7 linked regions of the Cricetulus griseus genome follow. The protein of the gene in region 1 purifies or fractionates together with the protein of each later gene. This does not show direct contact. Links are inferred from orthologs where the notes say so. Each region holds a gene or a part of one and is shown on either strand. Other genes may lie near its edges. The genes, in order: Csnk2a2, Prmt1, Eif3j, Pip4k2c, Tcof1, Efcab14 and Zc3h18.

The links.
Region 2: the proteins of Csnk2a2 (region 1) and Prmt1 purify together in Homo sapiens (affinity purification with mass spectrometry; 3 studies listed by BioGRID and IntAct, with this or other methods). This does not show direct contact. The link is inferred for Cricetulus griseus from reciprocal best matches to the Homo sapiens genes CSNK2A2 and PRMT1.
Region 3: the proteins of Csnk2a2 (region 1) and Eif3j purify together in Homo sapiens (affinity purification with mass spectrometry; 5 studies listed by BioGRID and IntAct, counting the BioPlex papers as one, with this or other methods). This does not show direct contact. The link is inferred for Cricetulus griseus from reciprocal best matches to the Homo sapiens genes CSNK2A2 and EIF3J.
Region 4: the proteins of Csnk2a2 (region 1) and Pip4k2c purify together in Homo sapiens (affinity purification with mass spectrometry; 3 studies listed by BioGRID and IntAct, with this or other methods). This does not show direct contact. The link is inferred for Cricetulus griseus from reciprocal best matches to the Homo sapiens genes CSNK2A2 and PIP4K2C.
Region 5: the proteins of Csnk2a2 (region 1) and Tcof1 purify together in Homo sapiens (affinity purification with mass spectrometry; 3 studies listed by BioGRID and IntAct, with this or other methods). This does not show direct contact. The link is inferred for Cricetulus griseus from reciprocal best matches to the Homo sapiens genes CSNK2A2 and TCOF1.
Region 6: the proteins of Csnk2a2 (region 1) and Efcab14 purify together in Homo sapiens (affinity purification with mass spectrometry; 4 studies listed by BioGRID and IntAct, with this or other methods). This does not show direct contact. The link is inferred for Cricetulus griseus from reciprocal best matches to the Homo sapiens genes CSNK2A2 and EFCAB14.
Region 7: the proteins of Csnk2a2 (region 1) and Zc3h18 purify together in Homo sapiens (affinity purification with mass spectrometry; 3 studies listed by BioGRID and IntAct, with this or other methods). This does not show direct contact. The link is inferred for Cricetulus griseus from reciprocal best matches to the Homo sapiens genes CSNK2A2 and ZC3H18.

The regions. Positions count from the first base shown.
Region 1 is NC_048596.1:171,671,972-171,676,496, reverse strand, and holds the start of Csnk2a2 (casein kinase II subunit alpha'), read left to right. Parts: upstream 1-1,682; coding exon 1,683-1,786; intron 1,787-2,440; coding exon 2,441-2,552; intron 2,553-4,525.
Region 2 is NC_048599.1:153,870,087-153,874,631, reverse strand, and holds the start of Prmt1 (protein arginine N-methyltransferase 1), read left to right. Parts: upstream 1-1,394; 5' UTR 1,395-1,465; coding exon 1,466-1,501; intron 1,502-3,729; coding exon 3,730-3,783; intron 3,784-3,988; exon of another isoform or gene 3,989-4,088; coding exon of another isoform or gene 4,089-4,091; intron 4,092-4,275; coding exon 4,276-4,377; intron 4,378-4,545. UniProt on the Homo sapiens protein: Arginine methyltransferase that methylates (mono and asymmetric dimethylation) the guanidino nitrogens of arginyl residues present in proteins such as ESR1, histone H2, H3 and H4, FMR1, ILF3, HNRNPA1, HNRNPD, NFATC2IP, SUPT5H, TAF15, EWS, HABP4, SERBP1, RBM15, FOXO1, CHTOP, MAP3K5/ASK1, MICU1 and NPRL2.
Region 3 is NC_048599.1:56,393,255-56,396,403, reverse strand, and holds part of Eif3j (eukaryotic translation initiation factor 3 subunit J), read left to right. Parts: intron 1-2,656; coding exon 2,657-2,818; intron 2,819-3,149. UniProt on the Homo sapiens protein: Component of the eukaryotic translation initiation factor 3 (eIF-3) complex, which is required for several steps in the initiation of protein synthesis.
Region 4 is NW_023276806.1:130,514,718-130,518,588, forward strand, and holds part of Pip4k2c (phosphatidylinositol 5-phosphate 4-kinase type-2 gamma), read left to right. Parts: intron 1-1,474; coding exon 1,475-1,621; intron 1,622-1,803; coding exon 1,804-1,842; intron 1,843-2,396; coding exon 2,397-2,510; intron 2,511-2,896; coding exon 2,897-3,164; intron 3,165-3,329; coding exon 3,330-3,433; intron 3,434-3,550; coding exon 3,551-3,631; 3' UTR 3,632-3,871. UniProt on the Homo sapiens protein: Phosphatidylinositol 5-phosphate 4-kinase with low enzymatic activity. May be a GTP sensor, has higher GTP-dependent kinase activity than ATP-dependent kinase activity. PIP4Ks negatively regulate insulin signaling through a catalytic-independent mechanism.
Region 5 is NC_048595.1:178,248,117-178,252,720, forward strand, and holds the start of Tcof1 (treacle protein), read left to right. Parts: upstream 1-1,758; 5' UTR 1,759-1,842; coding exon 1,843-1,950; intron 1,951-3,839; coding exon 3,840-3,895; intron 3,896-4,604.
Region 6 is NC_048595.1:36,568,033-36,571,903, reverse strand, and holds part of Efcab14 (EF-hand calcium-binding domain-containing protein 14), read left to right. Parts: intron 1-455; coding exon 456-647; intron 648-3,871.
Region 7 is NC_048596.1:199,022,365-199,026,937, forward strand, and holds the start of Zc3h18 (zinc finger CCCH domain-containing protein 18), read left to right. Parts: upstream 1-1,725; 5' UTR 1,726-1,867; intron 1,868-2,728; exon of another isoform or gene 2,729-2,794; intron 2,795-4,573.

The sequences.
Region 1 (4,525 bases):
CTCCAGCGCCCTAGGCCAGGCTTGAAGGGAAGAAAGAACTGAAAGATGGACATGTGCTGGTCGCAGGGAAGGAAAGGTGATAGAGTCTAGTAACAGCATGAGGCCGGACGGTGGTGGCACACACCTTTAATCCCAGCACTCAGGAGACAGAGGCAGGCAGAGATCTTCTGAGTTCTACAGAGTGAGTTCCAAGACAACCAGGGCTACACAGAGAAACCCTGTCCCTAAAAACAACCAACCAAAAACCCAAATAAACAGTGTGGCATGTAGTGCCTTATTATTGAACGGTCCCGATTGTTTTACATAGTTTAATGATCTACAAAACTCTGTGAAGTAAGTGTTGGGTGTATGCTACAAAATCTGAAGCTCAGAGATGTTGGGTCATTGCCTTAAATCCACATCAGTTGGGAGCTACAGAACTGGGACTTGAACTTGGGTAGTTAGCTATATGAAGAGGAAACAGTCTCATCTAGACAATGGTGAAAAAAGTTTAGACTCACCTGAACTGGGTGAGGATATTCTTGTTGATAAAGAATATGGACAGGAAAGCAAGACAGCCAGGGACCCGAGAAGATCAAAGAGCAGAGTATTCGAGGCTTGTATGCCTACCTAGTCCTTAGCCATGCCCAAGCATTAGCCTCTCCTTCCAGGCTAGTTCTCCCTTCCCCCTCCCCAACAAAAAATGGATATTTACCATCTCAAAGTATTTCCCACAAATTACAAGTTCAATGAAAGGGAGAAAACAGTAACTTTACAGGGAAACCACCTGGCTGACTCTAGTTTAACCAAGTGACCCAAGAGATGACTCAGTGGGCTCTCGGGGGGAATCTGGAGGGGAATTAGGAGGAAACGGTAGGTCGAGGACCAGGCAGATTCTGCATAGAGGGAATAGTAAGTATTGGGACTGAGGGGGTCTGTGAATGGTAGGTGGGGTCCAAAGGGCGAAGTGGAGTGAGGAAGGGAAACAATTTGAGGTGAGGGTTCTTGGGTTTATAGGCAAGTCACTGAGAGTGGCAGCAGTTAGGTGACAGGAAGGTCAGATCAGGGACAGTATGGGAGGTCGTGGTGGGTGGACATGAGGTGGCTGGACTATTCAACTGTGCTGAAAAGGGCGCCAGTCGGGGACGAAGGCTCCTGGGCGGTGACCTACAGGTGGACCTGCAGATGACCAAACTGCTTGGCGGGTGGCGCGGTCGCTGCGGGGGCGGGAGACGGCCACGGTCCCCCAGCGCTGCAGGGGGCGCTGTGGGCCGGGGCGGGCCGGGGCTGGGCGCGGCCGCTCCTGGCGAGCGCGGCCCTTTTCCGGGTTTCCTCCGCCTCCTCCTCCTCCCTCTTCGGCGCCGTCGCCGCCGCTGCCCCTCTCCCGGCCGGTGGCTGCCGCTGCCGCTGCCACCGCCGCCGCCTCTAGGGGCCGCGAGCCGAGCGGAGGCGCCGCGGAGCACGAGCCCCGTCGTCCGGCCGGCCGCCGCAGGCCCGGGCCGGCTCGGCCGCGCCCCCAAGCCGAGCGTCCGTCCGCCGCCCCCGCGGGCCCGGCCTGGCGCGGACACCCGCCGCCGCCGCCGCCGCGCTCCTCCTCCTGTTCGGGGCGGCCCGCGGCCCGCCACCTACTGCGCCTGCCACCCGGCGCCCCGTGCCGCGCCGCCGCCCTCGGCGCCCCGCGGCGCCCCCCGGTCCCGCCCGCCATGCCCGGCCCGGCCGCGGGCAGTCGGGCCCGGGTCTACGCCGAGGTGAACAGCCTGAGGAGCCGCGAGTACTGGGACTACGAAGCCCACGTCCCGAGCTGGGGGTAAAGCCGCCGCCAGCCGCCCCCTCGCGCGAACCGCACCCGGCCGGCCGCTCGGCCTCGGGGCTGGCAGGGAGGCCCGGCCCCGACCGCACGTGTCCCCGGCCTCCCCTGTCCGCCCGGCTCCGGCCCCGGCCCCTGGCTCAGCAGCCGGTGGGGAGAAACGTGGGGTCGGGGTGGGGGCAGCCCTTCCTCCTCTGGCCTTAGGGTTCCTATGGGATGGGAAGTCCATGGCTGTCCTCTTGAGCTGTTAAAATCTCTACCTTTTTACTTTTCTGAAATGAGGCTGGGTGGGAGGAACATTTTTGAAGATGTGCAGATTCAGTGGCTCCCCGGCGGGTGTGAAATGGGAGGCGAGTGCTGTGGAGCCGCAGGCAGGGGGCCACACCAGTACCACCAAGGTGGATGCTTTGCTCGGTGCCTTTAACGTAGGCCACAAGGCCCGGTGGCTGCCCTTTCTCCACAGGTTAGGAGGAGTCAATTAGGTTAGGAGCTCTGCAGAGTGAAGGGAGCCAAGCTTCTGTATGGCTTTCCTTTAGGGAACGAGTTGATGTGTAAGTTTCGGCACCTCCAAATGCTTGATTAATGGAAGTGGCTGGACATAGGCTTGCTTAATCTCAAATCCTGGCATTTATGTGTGTCTCTTGCCTTTCACAGTAATCAAGATGATTACCAACTGGTTCGAAAACTTGGTCGGGGCAAGTATAGTGAAGTATTTGAGGCCATTAACATCACCAACAATGAGAGGGTGGTTGTAAAAATTCTGAAGGTGAGTGTCCTATGAGTGGTATGTAACATTTTCTCCCACAGGGCAAAAGGAACAGCTATTCTAGGATGAGCAATTGAAGCTCTTGTATATCTCCTGGAGGGTGGCTGGCCCTGCAGCACTCCTACCATTTTCCTCTAAACTTTTGAGGAAATGTGCAGACTAGTCTGAACTCTTGAGTTTGATAGGTCAGGAACATTTAAAGTGTAAAATGTGGACTTCTCAGACAACTTGTGAGAGGGGATGTATATGATACAGAATAAATAGGTATTCACAAGAAAAGATTTTGTGTAGGCGAATCTGGTAGTGTAGGGTACCTTCATCATTGAACTTGTTTTGTTTGTTTGGGTTGGGTTTTTTGTTTGTTTGTTTTTTGAGACAGGGTTTCTTTGTGTAACAGCCCTGGCTGTCCTGGAACTCCATCTGTAGACCAGGCTGGCCTTGAACTCAAAGATCCATCTGCCTCTGCCTCCTGAGTGCTGGGATTAAAGGCTTGCGCCACCGCCACCCAGCATCGTTGAACTTGTTATTCTGTGCTCTGAATTACTCCAGAAAGTAAGTTGTCAAAAAATGAGTCTTTTCAGAGATCAGTTTAAAGCCTAGAATGCCAAGCAACTCCCCCAATGGATACTCAGGAAGGTGGTCCATAGGACCTAAGCCGTTCTTTGTGTTGTCAGATCATTTAATGTACATGAATGCCACCTGGGGATCTGGACGGTTCTTCATCTTAGATCACCTATGTGTGTTCCTAGTGAAAAACTGAGAACACTGGAGAGCAGTAGTACTTCACATGAACCCGATTTTCACAGTGGCCCAGTGGAGGTTCTGTACAACAAAAAATGTGGGACAGAAATGAAAAGCTTGTGCTCCCATTTAGTTGTTGTGTCGATTTTAGCATTCTCTAAATCATCTTTCAGGAAAGCGACTGCTGCTTTTGCTCTTTATCATCCTAGCCTAATGATAAAAGAGCAGAATTGCTGCAGAAACAGGTGGTTTTGTCTCTGCTGTTAAGACCCTGGGTAAGAAATAAGAGGTGCTGTTAAGATCAGCAGCTTGGCCCCACTAAATGAGTTGTACATGGAAGGTCTGTAGTTTATTGGTGATGGGGGGGGGGAGGTTAAGCAGAGAAATGTTTCCTTCAAGAAACTTGCTGGAAACCATATAATTTCATTATGTACATAAACATAAGTGGGGTTTTGTTTGTTTGTTTGCTTGTTATTTTGTTTTTTTGTTTTTCGAAACAGGGTTTCTCTGGCTTTGGAGGCTGTCCTGGAACTAGTTCTTGTAGACCAGGCTGGTCTCGAACTCAGAGATCCACCTGCCTCTGCCTCTGCCTCTGCCTCTGCCTCTGCCTCCCGAGTGCTAGGATCAAAGCCGTGTGCCACCATTGCCCGGCAAACATAAGTGTTTTAAATTTACTTCAGACATTTTAATTTTAAGGACTAAACAAAACAAATTGTGGTTAGGAATATCTGAATTCCTTGGTGCACATTTGGAGGATTGAGTTGCCAAATCTAAGACAATTCCAGAGAAATGTCTAAATGCCTGTGTTTTTAGAAGAAGTGCAGTTTTCTGTGGTGTGCTTTAAAGGAAACAGCATTGGGGAATGTGTATGAATCCCAGTATATTTGTTTGGGGAAGCATAGTACTATTTGCTCTTCAGTTGTTCTTGTGAAGAATTTCAGAGGTTAGTTGCTTGATAGTTTTTGCTCTAAAGAGGCTTCACATATATTTACTGAGTCCAGTATGGAAGCTGTGTCAGATTATTTTTATAAATTGTAGACCTAGACACAAAGAAATGTATCTGATATCACAAGGCTCTTCACCAGAATTCTTTCCTATTTCTTCATGCCTCTGGCTCTTCCTTTCAGCATTGGATTATGGGATCTTAGCATTGAACAGAGTATGTTCCAGGGTTTGAGCATGAGATTTTAATGCCCTAGTTCATGAGGTGTTTGTTTTTTCTCAGAGGGCAG
Region 2 (4,545 bases), on another chromosome or scaffold:
AGCTGCAGGGATTGGCAGGTGGGAGCACTAGGGCTGAAGGCCTTGGGGATTGACAAAACTGACGGAGGGAATTGGAGGGAAAAGCCCAGAGGCTATTGATATTTGGGATGAAGTAGCAGGATAGGCAGGAGTCAATCAAGAAATCATACTGAACCAGGCAATGGTAGCGCACACTTTTAATCTCAGCGCTTGGGAGGCAGAGACAGGAGGATCTCCGAGTTCCAGGACAGCCAGAGAAATTCTGTCTCGAAAAAACAAAAAGAAAAATCATACTGGCTGGAAGAAGTTTACACAAGCCTTAAATCCCAGCACTTTGGAGACAAAGGCAGGCTGTACCATGAGACTCTGCCTCACACCAGATACCTTACGTGTGCAGCAGATGGTGCAGTGCTTGCCGCTCAAGACTTGACACACGCACGCACACGCACACTAAACAGTGTTAGGAGTCGGAAGGAAGAAGGTCATCTGAGCACGAGGAGGCCTGGAGTGGAGAGGCACATTTGGGAACTTAAAGGACCCTGTGCTTGGGCCGAGTACTGGTGGGACAAAAGGTAAGAGGCAGGGGCACAAACCCAGCAATTGGCATCCATCTTCAGGCCAGGAGTAACTTTCTGCAGATCCAGGGAAACTTCCTGGAGGAGATGGAGTCCAAATTGCCGCGTGGGAGTTGGCCAAACAAAGGGAGATGGGTGTTTCATGCAAAGGACTAGGAGGCCACAGGTCTTCAGAACTCGGCACAGTCCAGTACAAGGTTATGGCTCATCGCACTGACATTCACTACGACTCCTGACAAGTTTCAGGACCCCTGATGAGAACGCCTCCACATCTACTCACAGCGACTCGGCATTTTCCCCTAGCTCGCCCACGCGCCCCAGTTCCGGAGAAGCCACCGAACGTTGATGACTGATGTTCCTGGGAGCCAATCGCTTCCGCCCAAAGCCCCGCCTACCTCCTTGTGGGCCAATGGTCCCTGTCGTTCTTGGCCAGTCTCTCGAAGGGACTGGAACAAGAGCCCTGCAACGTCACGTTTTGCTCAGCTAATTGCGGCGACGGAGAGGCGGGCCATCTTAATGATCCACAGCAGAGTCTCTCGACATCCGCTTAGCGCGGAGCCCGCCGGGAAGCTTCAAGGCGGAGCTGGCCGGAAGGAGGCGGGAAGACCTGGTGGGATATCCTCCAATCATCACATGCGCTGCCTAAGATAGACAGACAGTTGTTCCCTTCCTAGCCGACAGGAGGGGGTGGTCCTTTGAACGCTAGGAGGGGAGGGCGCCCGAATTTTGATAGACGTGCTCAGCGCCCAATTGCAGTGCGAGGCGGTTAGATTGACGGCTGCGCCAGCCATTGGAAACTTATGGCGGGGTCTCGGGGGCCGGGCGGTGGACCCTCTGGTAAAAGGCGGTCCCCGGCCGGGGGGAGAGAGAAGAAAGGGGGGGGTCTCGGAGGCCGGAGGACTCGGGTGAAGATGGCGGCAGCCGAGGCCGCGAACTGCATCATGGAGGTGAGTAGCTGGGCTCTTTAGGCCAGTGGGTAGGGGGAGGACGACGGGTTACCCACGGCCTGAACTGTGGAGACGGGGCCTTGGGTGTGCTGGGCCTCGCGGAGGTCCGCATCGGGGGATGTGTTCAATCGTGACCGGGGCGACCCCAGCTTATGGGACTCTCGGACCCCGCAGTCGAGTCGAGGGCCGTCGCACGTGGTCGCGGGCCGGGGGCGCGTCCAGCCGGGCCGCACGTGGTCGCGCAGCGTAGCGTGGGGAGGGGGGTGTGCCACTCGAGGGGCCCCGCGGGTTCCACGTGCGGGACAAAGGCCCCGCCCCCGGCCCGGTGACCTGGGCTGCACTCCGGGGGTCCTGGGGGGTGCCACCTGCGTCCTGCTGTCCGCTGGGTGGTGGACATCCGTGCACCCTCGTGGGGCCTGACCTCACTTTCCTCCACTCTGAGTTACCCCTGTGCGGTTGGGGGGGGATGGGCAGAGCCCTGTGACCTCTCTGTTAGAGGATGGTGGGGCATCTCCACCGAGGAGATCCGGATCCGGCGCCGGGCACCCCCTCGTGGTCATTATGGGCTTGTGAAAGGGGCTCTTTTTCATGGGGCGTGGCCCAAAGCCCACCCCCTCATGGAAGCGCCCTCGGGTGGATGGTCAGAGGTCGGTCTTGGGGCTGGATGGCTATGTAGGCACGCAGACCAAGGGGCCTTGACCCCCACCCGACCCCTTTTTTAGGATTCTCACCTTTGCCTAATTTCCCCCCCAAAACAGAATCAAATTCTAGCACCTGGCTTATTTGCTTACAGTTGAGTGTTTCCACCCCTGAGCTGTATTCCTCAGTCCACTTTTTACTAACTTTGATGCAAAGTGGGTCTGGCCTTGAACTCACCCTGTAGCCCAGGCTGGCCTTGAACTTGCCATCTTTGCTTAAGCCTTCCGGGTAGCTCTCGTGAAAGACTTCACTACTAGGCCTGTAAATCAGATCCTCTCCTAGTCTCAGGTTTCAAACCCTCTTCAGGAAGCCGTGTGGTGGTGCATGCCTTTAATCCCAGGACTCGGGAGGCAGAGACAGGCGGATCTTTGTGTGTTCAAGGCCCATTAGAACAAGTTCCAGGACAGGCTTCAAAGCTACACAGAGAAACCCTGTCTCAAAAAAAAAAAAAAAAAAAAAAGCCAGAAACAGAACAAACCCTCTTCAGTCAGTTGTTAACCTGCTGGTATCTGTACTACTGAAAAAGAGAGGCCCACATGGGAACTCCCCCCACTGGCTACCCGACCCCTGAGGTGGTAGATCGTGGCCTCTCTGGCCTTAGATAGCAGTCATCTATCTAATGGGATAATGATGGGATATAATCTGGTGGTACCCATACCTCTTCAAGTTCTCTGGAGAGGAAGGTCAGTTGCTGGGACACCTGCCATGGGGATCAGTTCGCCTACAGTGTCACTGAAGTGACCCTGGGCCTGGCACTTGTGGACAAAGGAAAAAGAGGGCAGTTTTCAGTGTGGGGACCAAGGTGGGGTGTGAAAGGGGGGGCTTTCGTAAGCTCACACGTGGCGGTGGGGCTCAGGCGGATTTTGGCAGAAATATTTATCGTAACAGCTTGCCCCAGCTTTCCAAGGCATATTTTGTACTCCTGGGGGGCAGCCCTCTTCCGGGGGCAGGTAAAACAAAGAGCCTTGCTCTGTGTGTTCCTTGCCCGGGTGGAGCTGGGGTGGTGTACTCACTGTGGTGTGGGGGTATGCCACATTTCTCTATTGGAATGATCTTTGGCCAGGAGACAGGATTGTGATGGGGCAGACAGGTGCCCAGCACCCATTACCTGTCAGCCCCCTCCGGTTTATTCATGGCACTTCAGCCTGGTGTGTCTGTCAGGAAATGTCACCTAATCTAGGGGGGATTAGGTAGTGAAGGGGAGCAACAGCTGAAAGTGCCCATGTGCCTTGGCAGGTATTGGGCCCTCTGGCCTAGATAGGGTAGGTATGTGTGGCCAGTTATCTGACCAGAGAGGGACAACATGGGGCGGGCCACCATCTCTTCAGCCAACAGCTGGGACAGGAGACCCCACCTTCCTTTCCCTCCCCACTTGTATCCCTTCCTTACACAACTGCAGCCACACTGCTTGCTCCTGCTTACACCACTCCCATGCCCAGGAAAAGCCAACCTGCAAAACACTCACTGCCCCAAAGGCCTTCCCCAGCCACCCCAGTAGCTAACCCTTTTTCCCTGTTACTCTCTCCTAGAATTTTGTAGCCACCTTGGCTAATGGGATGAGCCTCCAGCCGCCTCTTGAAGAAGTAAATATCCTTTTGTGAGACCCCCCCAGCCCACTTGCATATAAGCATACTTTGATATGCACCTGGCTCCTCAGGAGGTCTATTCATCCTCTTGCTTCAAACCAGTTTCCCCTGCTGTGGCCCCTAAACACATAGGACAGACCCCTTCCTGGCCCAAGCTGGCTCCCCCAGAACCATGGCTGCTTCCTTAACTCCATCTCCAGCCCTCCTCCTCTGGCTTTCAATGTGTCTGCCCTGGCTCTGCCCTCCCTTCCCTCCCTCCCCAGCTGTGGGCTGAGCTAGAGACGGGCATAGAGCCTGGAGAGATGGTAGGCGAGGCGGCTGCTCCCTGGATGGTGCTCTGGGTGGGTTCTGAAGTGGATACCGTCCCTTGGGAAGAAAGATGCCGGAGGGGGCTGTAGGGCTGTCCCATTCTGAAGAGGGGCCTTCTTGCAGGTTGAGGAACCTCTGAAGAGCCCACCTGTGACCCTTTTGCTACTCCCCCTCTTTCAGGTTTCCTGTGCTCAAGCAGAAAGCAGTGAGAAGCCCAATGCTGAGGACATGACATCCAAAGACTACTACTTTGACTCCTATGCCCACTTTGGCATCCATGAGGTGAGTGAAGACTTACCCTAAAGCCAGTACATCCTAAAGGGCTGAAAGGTTGGGCGGGGGTGAATGAATCCACATGGGCCCTGCTACCCTTCTTCCTGGGTCCACTGCCTTGGAGGTTGGTTAGCCCAGTGCTCTGCAGGCTGGCCTGCATGCTGCAGACATCAAGAT
Region 3 (3,149 bases), on another chromosome or scaffold:
TTTTTAACACATTCCTATAATCCTAACACTTGGAAGGTCTTAGCCTTAGTGGTAGCTAGCTAAGGCTATATAGCAAGACTGCCTCAAGACATCAGTAGACCCGGTAAAGTGTACTGTTGCCTAAACTAGTGAACTGGATAGATTCTGGTGTCTACAGCTTTTTAACTAAAATAGTGGACTGTCTTTGGGGACATCCTGTTCCCCTAAGTCTAAATAGGACTTGGGCAGAACATGTTAGTCCATGTAGAATATTCAGTTTTGGCTTTGCCTTGTGTTCGGAGTTGTTTCTTTTTCTTGGCCTTTATAGTACACCATCTTTCAGGGCCATCAGTTATCTTAACAGCTTAGGAAGTCAGGGCAGGAAGTAAAGCAAAAGCCATGGAGGATTGCTGCTTACTGGCCTGCTCTCAGTAAGTCTGCTTTCTTACAGTTCCCAGGATCACCTGCTCAGGAGTGGCACTGCCCACATCTAGCTGGGCTGTCCCACATAAATCAGAAATCAAGAAAATGGGCCATAGGCCAATCTGGTGGGGTCATTTTCTTTTCTTGGTTGAGGTTTCCACTAAACAAAGGACTTTAGTTTGTGTCGTGTTGATTTAAAAACTAGCCAGCTACCTAAGGAAGAGTTAAAAGACATAGTAGAGAAATCCAGAATACTTCATTTGTCAAATTTGTCATTACCCTGTGAAAAAATTCACCCAAGGCCTTCTCTAGAACACAAGAGACTTGCTTGTTCCCCTTTAGGAAAGTCTGACCATACTCTTCAGTGGGTCTCTAGCAATTTCAGCTGTGAATGTGGGTGTTCCTCTATTCATGGCAGCCCATGTGTGTTCAGAATAGAAAATCTCATGGGATACCAGTTACAAATTAAGAAGTGAAAAATGAAATAACACAGTCATTGTTTGGTTAGTAGGAATTTACTGTTTCTTGCACTTACAATGCTGAATCTGTAGTTTTGCTAGGTCATTTATTGACCTTGAAAAAGGTATATACATAATCATACTTTTCGCCTAGAATTCTTTTAGGCTAGATTTATTTTCTCTCGGTGTTTTTTTTTTTTTTTTTTTTTTTTTTCTTCTTCGAGACAGGGTTTCTCCGTGTAGCTTTGGAGCCTATACTGGCACTCGCTCTGGAGACCAGGCTGGCCTCGAACTCACAGAGATCCACCTGCCTCTGCCTCCCGAGTGCTGGGATTAAAGGCGTGCGCCACCACGTTTTTTTTAACACATGGTTACTTCTGTTTAATTTTTGGGGTTAGCTGGTTATTTTTATTGTATCCATCTTTTTTGTTATCCTTACCCATCTTTGCCCAAGGATGCCTTGGAAGCCAGAGGACAACTTGTGGAGTTGCTTCTCTCCTGCCATGGGAGTTCAGGGGATTGAATATAGGTGGTCACGCTTGGTGACAAATATCTTTACCTACTGAGCCTTCTCCCACTCTATCTCTTTTGTTTTTCTTGGACAGATCTTTTGAGAGCATCCTTTTTTGGACAGCTAGTAAATTCTGTGGGTCCTTTTTTAGTATGGCTTTTGTTTTTGAGACAGGGTCTCTGTGTAGCTCTGGCTGGTCTGGAACTCACTCTGTAGGCCAGGTTGGCTTAGAACTCACAGAGAAGCTTGCATCTACTTCTGAATGCTGGGATTAAAGGTGTTTTCTAACACTTTATTTTTAACAAAGGAAACCTGTTCAATTGAAACAGGAATCAAATCACAAAACAAATCCATGATAAAAGTAAAGATTTTTAGTTTCTAGTGCAGGGGATTGAACTCAGGTCTTCATACATGTTAGGCAAACACTACCTGAGCTACATTCCCAGCCCATATATAGTTTTATTAATTTGGTTGTTGGTTGTTTTGTTTCTTTTTTGAGATGGGTTTTTGCCAGGCTGGCCTTGAATTCTCCATCCTCCCAAGCTGGGAGTATGAATGTTCATAACTACTCAACTTCATGTGTTTTGTTTTGTCTTTTCAAGATAGGGTTTCTCTGTGTAACAGCTCTGGCTGTCCTGGAACTCATAGAGATCCACCTGCCTCTGCCTCCCCAGTGCTGGGATCACAGGCATGCGCCATCAACGCCAGGCCGCCAGGTGCTTTTTAATAGTAGTGCTTGACAGTACTGATCAGACAGTGGTGGGGATATCTGCTCCAGCTGCAGTGTACTCCGAAGGGTTTTTTTTAAATGTTTTTGCCTAAAATTAAAATAGGCGAAAATGCTGAATTGGAGGCTAGTAAAATTCAAGATAGATTTTTTTCTTTTCTTGTTAAAAAGCTCAGTAGTTTGTAAAGTTTCCTAGCGATGGAATGGTGGCTCAGTGGGTATTAAGCCTGATAACCTGAGTTTGATACCCCAGGGCACATATTGATGGAAGGAGTGAAAGTTTATCCTCTGATTTACACATGCAGGTCATGGTGGCATGTGCACACACAATATGACAGTTTGTTTAAAGTCCTGCTTTAGAATAAAACTGATTTTGATAGCAACTTGGTTAATGAACTTTAAGGTTTTTGTTACAGAGAGGGTTGTGTTGAAGTCAGAAGACAGTTTTGTTGTGTAATCATCTTTACATGGGTAAAGCTCTTCTTACCCAGAGAGCCATTCTAGCCCCTATTGATGAAAATGATTGTCTTCTAATGCTTCAGCTCTTTTCTCCTGCAGGTGTTAATAATACAGGTTATGGAATAGATGCTATGAACCCATCTTCAAGAGATGACTTCACAGAATTTGGAAAATTACTAAAAGATAAAATTACGCAATATGAAAAATCACTATATTATGCCAGTTTTTTGGAAGCCTTAGTTCGAGATGTCTGTATTTCATGTAAGTGATGCTGATTTCTGCCCCCTTTGTTAAGACTATATTCTTAACATACTTGGGAAACTTTTTTTGTTGTTACTGTTTGTTTTGTTTTTCTATAGCTTTAATGCTATAATACAGACTTGGGATTTCCTTTTTTAGCAAATATCTCCAGTTTGAATATTTGGGGATGGCTACTTTCATTGTTTTATATAGTAGCTTCTCACAGAGATAGCAGTCTTATGCCATACAAAACAGGTCACAACACTAGGTAACCCTTTTATCCAATAATCTCCTAAAGGCCTACACAGTATCTTTAGAGGGAATGCATTAGGGGCTTCTCAGGTTTAGAGCT
Region 4 (3,871 bases), on another chromosome or scaffold:
AGGGATAGGAGGACACCAGAGGTGAGCATAGTGGGTGAAAGGAGAGATTGTCGGAAGGGTCAAGTGCACAGTTGAAATAATTCAGTGACTATAGTCCCTACTGGATTTGACAACTGAGGAGTTATGGGCTTCAGATTTCAGTGATTTAGGGAATTTCCACGAATAAGGGCTTATTTATTACTTTTACTTATTTATTTTTTTGGTAAAAATATGTGTACAAGTGTTTTGCTTGCATATGTGTGCTTGGTGCCCTTGGAGGCCAGAATAGTATATCATCAGACCACCTGAAACTGGAGTTACAGGAACTGTGATCCACAGTGTGGGTGCTGGGAATTGCACCCAGGTCTTCTTGAAGAGCCATCTCGCCACTCCAAGTGTTTAAGGTCAGCTTTACTTGGGGCCAGGCTAGTGACATCTGACTTGACTTAGAAAACAAAATGATACTGGGCTAGAGAGATGGCTCAGTGGGGAAGAGCACTTCCTGTTCACTCAGAAGACCTGAGTTAGGGTAATGTCAAGTGATTCACAGCTGTCTGTAACTCTAGTTCCAAGGGATGCTCTGGCCTCCTGGGGTGTTCCCACAGACACATAAATAAAAAAATAAGGCATATAGTAGTGCCTTCCTTTAATCTCAGCATCTTTGTGTTCAAGGCAGATCTCTGAGTTTGAGGCCACCTTGGTCTACAGAAAGAGTTCCAGGACAGCCAGGAGAAACCCTATTTCAAAATAATAATAATAATAATAATAATAATAATAATAATAATAATAATTCAAATCTTTATTTTAAAAAAAACACAAAACAATCCAAATTAATTATAGGTCTCCTTGTAGACATTTATACTACAGAACCTACCCCACCAAGAAATAATCATTTTGCCAGGTGTTGGTGGCACACGCCTTTAATCCCAGCACTCGGGAGGCAGAGGCAGGCAGATCTCGATGAGTTTGAGACCAGCCTGGTCTACAAGAGCTAGTTCTAGGACAGCCTCCAAAGTCACAGAGAAACCCTGTCTCAAAAAAACAAAAAATAAAAAATAAAAAAAGAAACAATCATTTCATTGATAAGTAAATCTAAGTTTAACCCTGGTTCTGTGACTTTATTTACACAGTGCCTAAGGTAAGAATAATAATAGCTGCCTTCCTTATCTTGAAAAGTGATAAAGGTAGCTCATTCCTATAATCTTAACACTTAGAAGCTAGAGACAGAGATCAGAGTTGAAGACCCACCCCAGCCATATGAGACTTAGTGTCAAACAAATGAATGACAGAGGTGAGAAAAGGTACTTTAAAATTAGGAGATGGAGAAGCTGGGTGACCAGGAGCATTTTTAGGGACCGGCCACCTCTTGGCTTTGCATCCTCTGCTTGTGGGTTCTTTCCGGACTCTGGAGCAGCAGTGCTTGGATTGCTGTTCCTGGGCTGTTTGCTTACCCTGCCACCCTTTCCTTATTCCTTCCTCTCATTTTCTTCCCTAGTACATAGTGAAGTGTCATGGTAACACGCTTCTGCCCCAATTCCTGGGCATGTACCGAGTCAGTGTAGAAAATGAAGACAGTTACATGCTCGTCATGAGAAATATGTTTAGTCATCGTCTTCCTGTGCATAGGAAGTATGACCTCAAGGTAAGAGCAGGGTGACCTGGGCTAAAGGGAGGGCTACTTCTGGCCTGCGTGTTGAGGAAGGCTTGGGAGGGCACTGGTGACTGCTGTTAAAGGAGAGGTGTAGATTTGATTGTTCATCTTTGGAACTGGGCTTCTGGCTGGCCCTGTTATTTCTTCTGACTTAGTCTTTGGTCTCTCCACAGGGTTCTCTAGTGTCCCGGGAAGCCAGCGATAAGGAAAAGGTAATATTCCTTGTAGGTGATGCTGTGAGGGATGGCGGGGCGGGGTGTGTGTGCAGGTGCAGGAGTGTTGGCAAAGGGATTTCTAGGAATAAAGAAGCAGTTCTGCATAATGGATACAGATTGCAGCTGTTTATTCTTACCTTAAACCACTAGAAAGAAAAGAGATTAAAAAAAATGAAAAAAAACCTACTGGTCTGTGTGAGCAGCAGGGGTGACTGTTAGCATTGTTGTTAGCACTGGTTATTCTGTGTTGAAGGTTTGGGAAAGGTGGGAATGCCAGGTATGAAGAGCAGAATGCTCGTTTTTCATATCGCATTCTGAGCTCTTGCGTTCAAGTAGCTGTTTTCACTGAAGAAGGAGGAAGAAGTCAGTATGGAGGGTATTGACTGCAGTCCATAAGCAGGTAGTGTGGGTGTCATATGAAATGCAACTGACGAGTCCAGGCCCAAAGCAACTGTAAGACTGCTGCTCTCTTCAACGCCTCTGAGGTAGAGAGAGGCCTGGACGGAGGCAGGGTTCTCTGAGGCTTTGGGTAAGGGTGATTCCAACTGTAGGTTAAAGAGCTGCCTACGCTTAAGGATATGGACTTCCTCAACAAGAACCAGAAAGTATATATTGGTGAAGAAGAAAAGAAAATATTTCTGGAGAAGCTGAAGCGAGATGTGGAGGTAATGATTGGGTGCCCAGAGTGCCTTGTATAATAAAAGAAGTGTCTATTTTGTTTTTAAAATTTTTTTGCTTTTTGCCTTCCATTTGTGGTACAAAAATTTTCTTGCCTTTATTTTTGGGGTTTGCTGAGTGGAAGGTTGGGGGTGAAACAGGAGAAACCCCCATTGGTGGGGTGAGGTAGGGAGTGGGATGGGCACTGGCTAGGAGGAGTGAGAGCGTGCTGTCAGATTCCAGGACTCGGGCACTAATTCCTGGGAATACTTTGACCTCGGTTTATATGTTCCTTTCCCCCAGGAGGGCCCAAAAACTCAAGGAAGGAGGCATATGGGTGGAAGCTGGAGCTGGGTGGGAGACCTGGGGTCTCTGATTTGTCAGTGGGTCTCAGTTCCTAGTGCAGCTGAAGATCATGGACTACAGTCTTCTGCTGGGCATCCACGACATCATCCGGGGCTCTGAGCCGGAGGAAGAGGGGCCCGTGCGGGAGGACGAGTCAGAGTGGGATGGGGACTGTAACCTGGCTGGACCTCCTGCTCTGGTGGGCTCCTATGGCACCTCCCCTGAGGGCATTGGAGGCTACATTCATTCCCACCGGCCCCTGGGCCCAGGAGAGTTTGAGTCCTTCATCGATGTCTATGCCATCCGGAGTGCTGAGGGTGAGAGAGAACCTGGAAATGTTAAGGGGGGGTGGGCATCCTTGGGGGACAGAGACCAGGGTGGTGGATGGAGAAGCTGATTAGCTTGTCACAACAAAACTGACTCCAGGGGGAAAGAATTGGGACTGTGTGTACCCTGTCCTCATTGTCAGTCTCTCTCCCCAGGGGCCCCCCAGAAGGAGGTATATTTTATGGGCCTCATTGACATTCTGACACAGTATGATGCCAAGAAGAAAGCAGCTCATGCAGCGAAAACCGTCAAGCATGGGGTGAGTTCCCAAAGCCTTTCCCTTCTTAGCCTGACCCTCTGGAAAGAGAGCACTGGGTGCCTAAGGGAAGGAAGGGGCTAAGGCTCCTCACACATTGTCCCGTGTCCCTTCTCACAGGCGGGAGCAGAGATCTCTACTGTCCATCCTGAGCAGTACGCTAAGCGATTCTTGGATTTCATTGCCAACATCTTTGCCTAAGAGCCTGCCTGACTCCGTGGTGATTGCTGCTTTATGTTGAAGGTGGTGGGTTCTGAGAGTCTTAGGGGAACTGGATGTGGCCACTACTTCTCTTCCTTGCTAAATTCAGGCTGCAGGCTCCTTCCATCCAAATCATTCCATCTTGGTGGATAGGCTTTTCCTACCAGAGAAACACACTGTCCTTTCTTCCCGCGTCCGTTTTTCTGCCCGCTCTCCCGGCTCCCAGTAAGCCCTCTTGCT
Region 5 (4,604 bases), on another chromosome or scaffold:
CTCTAGTCACCTGCGCTTCTCCCTAGGGTGTGCATTTGTCACTTTTCTTGTTCCTATGACCAAATATCTGGCAAGAAACAACTTAAATTAGAAAACTTTATTCTGAGTCACAGTTCACAGCCCATCATGCCAGGAAAGGTATGGTGGCAGGAATTTTGGTTACATGTCAGCAGGCCAGGAAGCAGAGAAAGAAAAAAAATGCAGGCAGGCCTTGGTTAGGCTTTCAGTCTGGATGCCCTACCCAGACAGGCCTTATTAGACACACCCATAGGAGTATCTTTTAGGTAATTCTAAAGTCCAGTCACCCCTGAAGATTAATCATATGTGAGTCCAGAATTTGGATGAAAATGTATATTGACAGATATAACATTCCTAGAGTGAAAGCTACCAGTAGATTTCTAACCTGTCCATGAAATTAACAGCGGCCTCAAATATGCCCCAGGCCACTCCCATTCTTTCCTGTCAGTGTCCCCTCATCAAACACAGCAGCCCACATTGGAGTTCTTTGTTTATTTGTTTGTAGCAGGGTTTCTCTGTGTAAACCTGGCTGTCCTGGAACTTGCTCTGTAGACCAGGCTGGCCAGATCTGCCTCCTGAGTGCTAGGATTAAAGGCATGGTCCACTGCCAGCCCCTGGTTTTATATTCTCTTTGCAGCATGTCAGAACTCTGTTGGGAAAAAGGTACTATAAGCTTGCTTCCAGTATTCTGGACTCTCTTTTTCACAACTCTCCAGCCTAGCAGTACAGAGTTTGGGGTTCCCTTACTAAACAACAAGTTGATTCACACATTCTGACTCGTGCAGTACCTCCAGCCTGTCCTCTCTTCGGTGCTCAAAAGTTTCCGTTTCTGCTGTTGCTGGGCGGTGGTGATGCAAGCCTGTAATCTCAGCACACAGAAGGCAGAGGCAGGGGAAATCTCTGCGGTTTCGATGACAGCCTGGTCTACAGATCGAGTTCCAAGACAGCAAGGACTACCCAAAGAAACCTTACCTGAGGTGTGGGAGGCGGTCTCCTGTCTTTGAATCTAAATGTATGTAAGTCTCTTTGGGTTAGGTGCCCCTCCTCCATGCTTCCATGGGCTCTGCCTTCTCTTGAACTGTAATTGTCAACTGTATCTCCAGCCTGGGTGATCTTTGAAGTCAACTGCTTGTTTTGTTTCTCGTTACATGTCCTCAGCCTAGCTGGGTGCTAACCTAACATATAGGGTTTGGGTAAGGATTTATGTAGTGATTCAACACACTAATGACAACTGATGCCTGGACCTAAATACTGTATGAAATAATGAGTAATTGGAAGCTGGGGCCAGTGATCAGAAAGTTCGAAGATGAATAAAGATGCCCTATCGTTAAGACCAGGTCAATAAAGCCCTTCAAGGGCAGTGGTGGCACACGCCTTTAATCCCAGCACTTGGGAGGCAGAGGCAGGCGGATCTCAGTGAATTCGAGGCCAGTCTGACCGACAAAGTGAGTTCCAGGACAGCTAGGGAACAACTAGGACTGTTACAGAGAGAGACCGTGTCTCGAAAAACCAAAAAAAAAAAAAAAAAAAAAAAAAAAAGTAAACCAGAATTAAGATGAAGGAGCCCTTTCCATCATGGCCGTCCCGAGGGCGGGTCGAAATCAGGCCACGCCTCCAAACCAATGGCAGAGATGATTAGCCTTCGTGGCTCCGCCCTCTCGGACGGTATGGCCCACTCCAGCTGCAAGACTACATTTCCCAGTGCGCCACACGGCTAGGTGACGCAAAGCCGGAAGTGAGGAGCATGAGGTCCTAGGGCACGAGGGAAGAGGCTGGCGGGGGGCTAGGGGGCGTGCACGTGAATAGGCTGGCCGGATCTCTGGCATGGCCGAGGCCAGGAAGCGGCGGGAGCTGCTTCCCCTCATCTACCATCACCTGCTGCAGGCTGGCTACGTCCGCGCGGCGAGGGAAGTGAAGGAACAGAGCGGCCAGGTAAGCGTCGGAGGGCCAAGTGCAAGACCTAGAGAGCAGTAGCCCGCGCCCCTCCCTGGAGACCCGGCCAGCGCGGGTCCGAGATGCGGGACCAGGGGTGCAGGAGGAGCATTAAGGTCTACTCTAACCCCTGCGACTTCCAGCCGCCTCCCGGGGTTCAGTTTCCTCGTCGGTGCAGTGGGCGGGCCGGAACCTCTGATCCGAGGCATGCAGCTTTGTAATTCCCGCCCCGGTTCCCGGTAGCCGCAGGTTTAAGTTTCCCTAGTTTCAGGCCACGTGGCTCTATGCAGTTTTCCTAGGGCACCCTGCTAGTCGCTGGTCTCGGGGTGGATTGTCATCATCCTTGTTTGGAACACGGAGAGGAAGGCCCCCTTAGTTGATGATCTGGAATGCAGGGCGTGCAGGCCCTTGACTGTCTTCGGTTATAACAAGACTCAAACTCATGGTGCAGTAATTCTTCCACTTGGCAACTTTTAGTTTGACCCTGGGGTGCAGATGACGAAATGGGGACCGCCAGTCTCAGGCCTCCCTGCTCATCTCACAAAAGTATCACAAGTGTTCTGTACGGTTAACATTGTATTAAGCTGTAGAATGGGAGATTTGAGATGTTAAAACATGGCTGGCAGAATCTGGGTGGGGAATACCCAGGACTGCTTCTCTGAGGGTGTAGTAGTTGGTTTGGAGAGCTCAAGGGAGATGGGTAGTTATAGGTGCTGATGCCCTGAAGTTGGAATGGAGCTTCTGAGTGTTCTAGCCTCCAGAAAGTTTGCTGTACCTGAAGTTTGAAATCCATGACTATGGAGTCTCCCAAAGAGATGGAGGCTGGAATGATCCATGGGTAATCTTCCCAGAAGAGCAGTGGTAATCACTGGTGAGATATATAATAACTGGTGGATATGTTGTGAACTCACGGCTAGCCTAGTCTGCATAATGGATTCAAGGCCAGCCCAGGGCTAAGTTGTGAGAACTTGTCTCAGAAACAAACGAACTCAAAACCGAAGGCTGCTGGGCTTTAGGATGTTATATGTGGTTTTCCTGACCTTCCTGGACCTTGATGCCCTAACAGATAGGGGAAGCAGGACATAGTGCCCATCATCATGGTTTGTGTGCCCAAGCAAGAGTACCTCTTCTCACAGAGCAGATACATAAAAATAAGCTTGTAGATTAGCCTGTCTAGATTGTGGCAGGTGCTGGCCACAGTGAGGGGAAGCAAGGAAGATATGGAATGTCAGACTCCAGTTACAGCTAAGGTGGTCAGAGAAGTCTTATGGCGAAGATGACATTGGAGTAGAGACTAGGAAGAAGTGGAGAGTTGAGCTGTGTGGTTGGCAAGAAGGAGAACAGTAACAGGAATGACAAAGCCCTGTTAGGAACTGGTGGTCCAACTTATTTATTATGACACTATGCCTGAGTTAGCGCAGAATCAAATTGACTAGATAGGGCCCTTCAGACTGACAGCAGCCCTTTCCATCTTATGTTTACTGAGCTGTAAAGAAGTATCCTGGAGTTTGCAGAGATAAGAGATGAGTTATCCAGTGAGTAGGAGCTCTTCCAGACTCTAGGCCAATCTGTTTGGGTGCTGGCTTGGTTTTTTTTTTTTTTTTTTTTTTTTTTTTTTCCCCTCTACGTGTGTCTCTTTTGACTCATTAGAGCACTTGGCTGTTCAGTCTTGATTTCTACACAGTGTATCCTCGGCCTAGGCCTGGTACCTGTTTTCCTCTGTTTTAACTGAAACCCTTGAACCAGCCAGGCAGTGATGGTGCATGCCTTTGATTTGTAATCCCAACACTCAGGAGGCAGAGGCAGGCAGATCTCTGAGTTAAAGGACAGCCTGGTCTACAGAGTAGACTGCGTACTTATTGGAGCTTTCTATTATTATTTCTCTACAGAAGAGTTTCCTGACTCAGCCCACCACCCTTCTGGACATCTATACACACTGGCAACAGTAAGTCTGGTGGAATGGAAGGGATAGAACAGGGTTACCATAACTGATCATCTTTGCCACAAGGTAATATACTAATGTGGTCTAAGATATGATCCAATAGCCCACTGTGGACACTTGTCACCTTCAAAAGGCAGGTTATATCATATATATGGGTAATCTCTGTGTGTAGCTTATCACAGGGGGAGACATTCTGAGTTGGAGCCCATCTGTTTTTGTTGTTGCTGTTTTGTTTTTGAGACAGGATCTCACTCTGTAGACCAAGCTGGCCTCCAGTTCTGGCACTAAAGGAGTGTCCGACCACACCCAGTGAAAGATGGATCTCTTAAGAATAAAAGCTTGAGCCAGGTGGTGGTAGCAGCCCACATCTTTAATCCTAGCACTCGGGAGGCAGAGGCAGATGGATCTCTTTGAGTTTGAGACCAGCCTGGTCTACAAGAGCTAGTTCCAGGACAGCCTCCAAAGCCACAGAGAAACTCTGTCTCGACCCCCCCCCCCAAAGAAAAAAAAGCTTGTGGTGGCACTGACCTTTAATCTCAAGGCAGAGGCAAGAGGATCTCTAGGTTCAAGGCCAACCTGGTCTACATAGTGAGATCCTGTCACAGAAAAGAATTGGAACAGATGGTTTCCTTTTTTTTTGTTTTGGATTGTTTGGTTTTTGGCTTTTTCGGTTTTGGGTTGTTTTTTTTTTTTTTTAAGAAGATTTTATTTA
Region 6 (3,871 bases), on another chromosome or scaffold:
GTCAATAAAAATAATTGAATCTTGTACTAAATAATGCACTACTTGCTGTGCTTTTGTTACACAAGCCAATTCAGTAATTGGTATTGTTCCTAAGGTAGTTTTGTTCTGACCAATTAAGTTAATGGGACTTCAGTTAATAACCCAATGTGCTCTCCTGCCAGCAAGTGAGGTAAACACTTTGGGGAAATTAATTCCCAAACTCACTGCTTTGAGTGGGAGCTTGCAGACAGTTCTCTTCTTTACCCTCCTGTCTAGCTGAGGCCAAACAATTCAAGAGAGGGCAAATTGGGACCAGTTTAAAGAAAGAAGAGCAAAGCAGATCTAGGCAGTTGGAGATTGCTGCCAAGAAAAGTACCTTACCTTGTTGACATAATAATGGTTGCTGCATTTCTCCTATCCTACTTGTCTAGTTGCAGTATTTAGGTGGATGTCATAACTCATTGTTTCCACTCTAGGATATCCTGTACCTTCACAACTCCTTAGAGGAGATCAACAGTACTGTAGTGGGATACCAGAGACAGAGTAACCTTAAATTTGAGGGGATGAACGAGACACTCAGTAACCTGACACAGAGACTCAGCCTGATGGAAAGTGATGTGGCTGCACTGAACAAGGCAGAAAAAAGAGCAAACCTGACCTCCAGCAGGGTAAGCCTTTTCAGATCTGCTGTGGCATGCTCTATGTCGGTGTGTGTTGTCTGTACATAGATGTAATTCCCTCTCCTTATGTGAACAGTAGTCTGGCATACTTAAGAGGCTACACATTTGTTTTGTGCTTAACTTACTCCTGCTTAAATTTATATAGCAGTTCTCTGAAGTGCACAGGGTATGTGTGTTTGAAAGGGGTAAGATCAAGGATCAGTTTAAACACATCAACTCACTAGGACTTGTTGGCAGGAATAACAAGTCTCTTACAATGTTGCCAGTGTTTATGTTTTTCCAAAGGAGGTCTTTTTTCCTTTCCTTTCCCTTTCATTTCCTTTCTTTTCTTTCCTTTTCTTTTTCCCCCTTAAGGTATTAGAAGTGGTAAGAGCAGCAGATACAACAATCTTGTGCAATTTTTTAAACCCTGAGCTTGGCTTTCAGATTCATCCTGCTCCTGTCTGCATATTAAAGGAAACCTTTTGCATATAATGTTAGGGAAACCATCTAAAACAGATGAAGTTGCTTCTATAAATAAACCCTAGTGAAACCAATAGGGTTACACAGAATCTGAAAGGAGAAGGGGGAGTCCATGGGAAGGAGGAGATTAGCAGGAGTGGGAGGAATACAGAAGGGTTAATGGGGGAGTGGGTGGAGGTGATTATGATAAATATGTTATGTACATGGATAAAAATATAATGAAACCCATTATGATGTATAACTAATATTTTCTAGTAAAAACACTTGTAAAAAGATGAAATCAGGCCAGGTGGTGATGGTGGCACATGCTTGCTAGCTCTGAGGGTCACTGGTTTCATGATCTCGTGAACAGAGTCTGTTTGTTTTTAACCACATTTCATCTATACATCCTGGTGGGATTCATGTGGATCATTTTGTTAACAGTGATAGGTCTCACTTTTAAAGGTTCAATAGAGCAAAAACGTGGTACAGTTTTTGATGGAAACCAAATTCAGGAAACCACACTGTAAATTCAAGTAAAAGCTAGAAGCTAACCCACACATAAAATTGAACCCTGACACATGGTAAGGAATGCTTGAGCTGGCTCTGCCACAGTGAACTTTTGGCAAGCTGCCTAAATATGGCTTTGAAAGGTGGGGTTAAAAGACCTGTCCCCCTCTGACTGGCCCTCCTGCTTTACAAGAGTGTGTAATTTACTACAAAGCTGTGAAGATTAAAGGAGCCCTAGTTTTTAAAGCCCTTTTGAACTCAGCTAAGCTAAGTAGGAGCTGAGAACGTTGAATGATTTGATGAATAATGTGCCTTGAAGGGTTTTCAAGGCTTATTGTGAAAACTTACCACCCCAAGCCCCTTGCAGTCTCTGCCATCCCCTTCTTATTTCTATCCAGCAAAGAGAATTGGTAATAGTATCCATCTGTCTTACTATTTCTTCCAATAGCCTCAGACTGAGCCTGGATCTGGGGAGAAGCCTCTATTCCCACTTCCTGTTTCCTTGTGCCCGTCTCCATTCTCTGTCTCTCCCACTCCTTTGCCATTTGTGTTTAAAGTGTTCAGATCCTTTCAATAATTTGACCAATTTGTTTAAGAAGTTGTAAGTGTCAGAGTTGGAGAGATGGCTCAGTTAGTAAAGTGCCTGCCACACAACATGAAGACCTGTGTTCAGATCCCCAGTATCCACATAAAAGCTGGACACAGTGGCCTGAATCTGAAACCCATTAGTGCTGGGAGTAAACAGAGACAAATTCCTGGAGCTCATTGGCCAGCCAGCCTAGTCGAAATGCCAAGCTTCAGGTTCAGTGAGAAAGCCTGTCCTAAAAAGAAAAAGGTGAAGAATGATTGATGATTGTCAGCCTCTGCCTACACATACATACATACATACACACGCGCGCGCGCGCGCGCGCACACGCATGAGCGTGTATAAACACATATGTAAAACACACAAAAGTATTTCCTGTCATCCAAGTTTTAATGTTTTAACCTTTTCCTCTGTTTTCTTTACCCTCTAAGATGGGAATAGGGCTTCCACTCTGAAAAGAGAGTCTTTGGTTAACAACAGAGCTACTACTGTAAAGGCCCAGGGCATAGTGGTAAACAGGAGGCTTCTGTAAAGTAAACAGATGCATCAGCATCTCCACACTGTTCGCTCTAAGAGGAGCACTTTGATCTCTTGTGACAAACTCCAAGGCAGAGCAATTTGTAAGTTAGGGTACTAGTGAGTGAGTGAATATCACACCAGGTACCTACCTTGTGCTCATCACTTTACCAGGAGCCACGATGGCCACAGTGAATGACACAGATACATGACCCCTATTGTGGTATAGCTCACAAAGCTGGACAGATACTTAATCACAAGTCTGGTAAGTACTACAGTGGGAAAGCATAGGGATCAGGTGGGCTTTCCTAGTTTTTAAGCTAAAACAGTTACTGTCCCAGTCTGCTTTTGTTGCTGTGACCATGACCAAAAGCAACACAGGGAGGAAGGCTTATTACATCATATGAGTTACAGTCCATTATCAAGGAAAGCCAAAGCGGGAGCTTGAAGCAGAAACTATGGAGGAATGCCACTTACTGGCTTGTTTTCTCTGGCTTTCTCAGCTTCTTTTCTTATACAACTCAGGCCCACCAGCCTACGGATTTCACCACCCTCAGTGGGCTGGACTCTGTCTCCTACATCAGTTAACAATTAAGAAAATGCCCCATACACATGTCCACAGAGCAGTCTAATGGAGGCAGTTCCTCAACTGGGGTTCCTTCTCCTCAGGTAACTCTAGTTTGTGTCTAGTTGACAAAAATTATTTAGCACAAATATCTAAACTAATGATAGGGGACAGGGGCATAATTTAAAACTGGTGTCCAGCTTAAAAATCATTTTGCATTTAGATTGCATTCTCAAGACTTTCATAGTCCTTTTTAAGTCCTGCTGAGATAAAGGGAAAGCCAGGAAGAGGTGACAGAGTGACTATAGCTTCATCTGAGGTGCACACAGTGTTTGAGTTCAGAGGATATGAGGTTCATAGTAGATGAACTTGGCTGAAACCATAGTGTAGAAGCTTTTGATATAAAGCTTTCTATCTTTACTTTTTCATCCTTAGCAATTTTAGCTTAGCAGTTTTATCCTTACCAATTGTCTAGATAAATTCATGTATATTTAAGATTTTGATGCATTATAAGCTGGGCTTTTATTGATTTTTTTAAGCTGCTTCTGTGCATTTTTCAAACCTCAGAGAATGACAAGAAAATTTTAAGAACCA
Region 7 (4,573 bases), about 27 Mb from region 1:
CCTCCCGAGTGCTGGGATTAAAGGTGTGTGCCACCAACACCCGGGGCAGCTGGATCTTATGGTGGCATTTTCTCAGTTGAGGTTCCTTCCTCTCTGATGACTCTAGCTTGTGTCAAGTTGACATAAAACTATCCTGCACACCTGGGGACAGAGAAAACTAGATTGCAAATTGAAGGACTAGGAAAGAAGACATGAGTGCCAGAGAGATGGGCTGGGAGCACTGGGTCATAGGAAGGGTGGTGCATTACTTTAGGTTTTATCTGATGGCTAAAGAAGCCACTGGAGGAATCTCGAGCCATCAGGGAAGTGACTGAAACTGAGTTATAAAATGTGGCTCTGACTGCATAAGAAAGTCCCCAGGAGTGAGAAGGGGGATATTTAGTATTAATTCAGGCAACAAGTGGGGTGGAGAGCATAGAGAACAGGAGGGAAATTCAAAATCCACCTGGATCTATATATGCATGCATGCTGTGGCCCAGCTAATTCAACAATGGCCGCCTACCAACAACGGAAAGTCCAAGAATCCAGTGGGCTGGATTCAGTCAAGGTTAGATGTCTCAACTGGTCTTCAGTATTCATTGAAATCCTGAAGAAGTAGGCCCTAATGCCAGTGAACAAATGAACTTGCCAGAGTAGGAGCAAGCAGGCAAGGGCTTCCTTCCTCCATGTCTTTTACATAGGCTGCCACCAAAAGGTGTGGCCCAGATTAAAGGTGGATCTTCTCACCTTAAAAGATCCAGATTAAAGGTGGGTCTAACCACTTCAAATGATTCAATCAAGAAAAATCCCTCACAGGTACTCAGCCACTTGGGTTTCATGACTAGGCTTTTCTTGAGCACCATTTAAGGGTTCTTATAGCATCTCTGTGCTTATAGCATGTGTCAGACCATTGCTTTCTGTGGCTGAATTAATGTTCCTCTGTAAAAATGGAACAGCTATGGGCATCTGGGCTGTTTTCCTTGAAGTTGTCCGAGGAAGACAGGCAGCCCCCAAGCATGTAAGCCCAAAACCAGTTCCAAAATTTTCAAGGGGCCAGTACCCAATGACCGCGCCACACTTTGTCAGTAGCGATCAGGGGGTTTAGGCCAGCAGCAGCAACAGAGCACTGCTGGGGGGGGGGGGACTGTAAAAAACGTTTCAACGGCTTAAATCCTCCCCAGGGGGATTCCACTGGGTCATGGTAATCATATTTAACGAAATCAAGAATATTTAGCGCCACTCTAACTCTACAAATATCTCCAAATATTCCTTGGGGGGGGGAGCGGGAGGCGAGGACCAGGACCTGGAGCTGTCTCTACTTCAGAGCTACACTCCAGTCTCCAAAATACTTTTGGTCAAGCATTGACATTTAATAAGACAGGAGATTCTCGCCTGGCAAAGACCTATCCCAAGTTTTTAGGCACTGGGGTGTCCACACGCGCAGACCAAGAGCTACAAAGGACTTTCCCTACCGGGGGTCACGATCCGCCCGCTGCCAGCCTTTCCCCATCCCGGGAAGCTACCACCAGAAATCCAGAGACTCTGCGCACGCGCCGCTAGATGGCTCGCTAGAAAGCCGGCCGGCCTCGGTGGGCGTGCGCAGAAGCGGAGACTTGTGAGCGCGCGCCACGGAGGAGGGGCCTCAAGAGTCCGGAAGGAAGCGCGAGGAGGGCGGGGCTAGCGAGGGAAGCCCGCCGGCCCGCAGTACGGCCGTCGCGGCCTGATGACGTCGCACAATGGCCGGCCCCCGCGGGTAGTGGAGCCCGTTTGTTCCGCCCGCGTCGTGCCTGAAGCCAGAGTCAGTGAGAAGCGGAAAGGTCGAGGAACGTCTTGTCCACGCTGCTCCCATCTCAGCGGAGCCGTGGCCGCCTCCCGTCCTCGCGCTGAGGTAAGCGGGGCCGGCGGGTGGTAAGAAGGAGGCCGCCAAGCGGCGGCGGGAGCGAGGCCCGGGAGCCCGGCGCCGCCTCCCGAGCTCGGGCGCGCCCCCGGCTGTGCGCAGCCGCGGGTCGAAGCGCGGCCCGGGACAGCGGGCAGGCGCGAGCCCGCTGCGGCCTGGGACGTCCTGGCGACTTTAGCGCGCCGCGGTCTGCCATGGTGAAGTTGGTTTTCTGAAGCTGTCATTTCTCTTCCGGGCCACTCGGCGTGGCACATGTTCGCCGCCTACAAAGGGGAGTGAAGCACGCAGGTTGGCTGGGGAGGAGGCTCGCCTGGACTGTCGACGGGCTCTACGGGGAACTTTGAGCTCTCTGGAGCCTCCTGCAACAACATGCTCTCGCAACTTCAAGTGTGCACAGGTGCCCCGAGAGGTCCGATCTCTTAGGAAGTATAACCTCCTCACCTTTTGGACTGTGAGCTCAGAGACACCGAGTCTTTGGCGTAAAGTAGCCAAACAATTGTAGTGCTGGAAAGAAACTAAGACTTAAGTCTCGCTACTGCTGGAAATTTAGTTTTCCCCGTGTACATTGACAGCTGAGCTTACCGGACACAATAGTAGCTTTAAATGAGTTCTGTTTAGCACTTACTTGCAAGAGTAGGTAATTCTTCAGATCCATTTGGGGATAATGAAAGAGAGCATCTGGTTCATCTCCACATTACCTATCCCAAGGCAGGGGTTGGAGATTCTCAACCCCTAGGCTAATTTCCATTTCCCAGCCCCTGAGAGGAGAATGTGTTTGATCTGAGCACTTATGAAGCCCAGCCAGTTCTGGAACCAGTTCAATATGTCCCAAAGCCTGAACCTTCTCTCCAGTTGTAGGTGGGGAATACTAAAACATTTTAAGAGAACTTTGTGGATTTACTTCAGAACACTCAACAGGTAAGCTCTTGCCTTGCTCATTTTTAAAGAGCTATCTTGTCATTTACACACCATCTCAAGGTGACTACTCCTTATCAAAGAGTTTTTGGTTGAGCTTAAGTCAATTTGGAATTGTGCTTATCAACAATCCTGACATTCTTGCTGTATACACTGAAACGATGAATGAGGATTTTAAACAGGTATAATAGAACTTAGACATCAACATAGGATCTGCTCTGCTAAAAGTAGTTTCCCACAGCTGGGCAAGGTATACCACAACTTTAATCCCAGCCTTTGGGAAGCAAGGGCAAGAGGATCTCTGGAGGCTGACCGAGTATACATAGTGCCAGGACTACATAATGAGACTTTGTCTCAAAAGAGAAAGCAGTTTCCCAGAAGTTGTGCTTGTTATTGATCCACCTTTGCTGAAGTCCACTTGAAACACCTGTCTCAGTAGTAAGCATGTGAATTAATTGGTTTCATTTTAATAGCCACACACCCCTCTGGCTTTGGAGGCTGTCCTGAAACTAGCTCTTGTAGGCCAGGCTGGTCTCAGAGATCCACCTGCCTCTGCCTCTGCCTCCCAAGCGCTGGGATTAAAGGTGTCGGCCACCAGTGCCTAGCTAGGCCAGGCTCTTAAGTAGTTTGTAGCAGTTCCTCAGTGACCCAACTTTGAGGAGAATGTGTTGTTACTATTCTGCCGTTAGTGGTGTGGTTGAAGTCAGTTTGGCCTCCCAGAGCTGCTGCTGAGACAAGAGCAGAGGACAGGCTCTGGAGCTCTGGTTCTAGTGTTTTACAAATTAGGCAACTTTTTTGTTTTTAGTATGCAACAGGTAGTTCTTTGCTTAATGAGATTTTTGTCAATTATTTAACAAGTATTTTTCAGGTATGTCAAGTGCAGTAGGGGAAAGAAACAGTGAAAGACTTGAGTCATTCCACCCACTGAACAGGTTCACCACTTTGGATTGGAGGACTAAAGATTAGCTCTAAAACTTGTGAGAGTCCCACATTACTGAGTGATTGGCTAAGATGGGTTGGTCAAAGATTGTAAACATGGAAGTGTATTGAGTTGGACTGAAGGACCCTCAATTAATTGTTTACACTTGATAGGGCATATAGTTCCCTTCATCCAGCATAGGGTAACACACAATATTTGTCTCAGAACACTGGCACCTAGAGAGACAGTGAGCCTTCCTAGAGCAGGGCTGGAAATCAAGCCATCTCCTGATTCCCTGTATGATTCTTGCTCTAAAGGTATGATTTAGAGTGGTTTTTCAAAAAACACACAGATTTGTAGTTGTCCCTGAAACATGTTAACCTGAATGTGGCCTCCAGTAGTACAATCCTAGGAGGTCCCATGGGAAGGAAGAACAGTGCAGTGCCTTTTCTCAGAAAATCTTTCAGGGCCTCTGCAATGTAACTCTGCACCATGGCAGCCCTGATCATGCATCCTGTGGATGCTAATCATGGCCGCTGTAGTCTCAGAAGTGTCCCAGCCGTATAGTACAGTGTGTGGTGTATAGGCTGCTGAATGCCAGCCCTGTGAGAGCCTCTTATCCTTTCTCACTCTGCAGGATTGGGAAGAATATATGTTTTCCATCACTATGACAATGCATGAGGTGATGAACTCATACAGAGAAAAGATTTAAGTTGATGTAGTGGCACACACCTTTAATCACAACAATCAAGAGACAGGGAGGCAGATCTCTGTGAGTTTTAGGACAAGCTGGTCTACAAAAAGAGTTCCAGACAGCCAGGGATACATAGAGAAATCCTATCTCAAAAAGAAAGAAAAAGGGG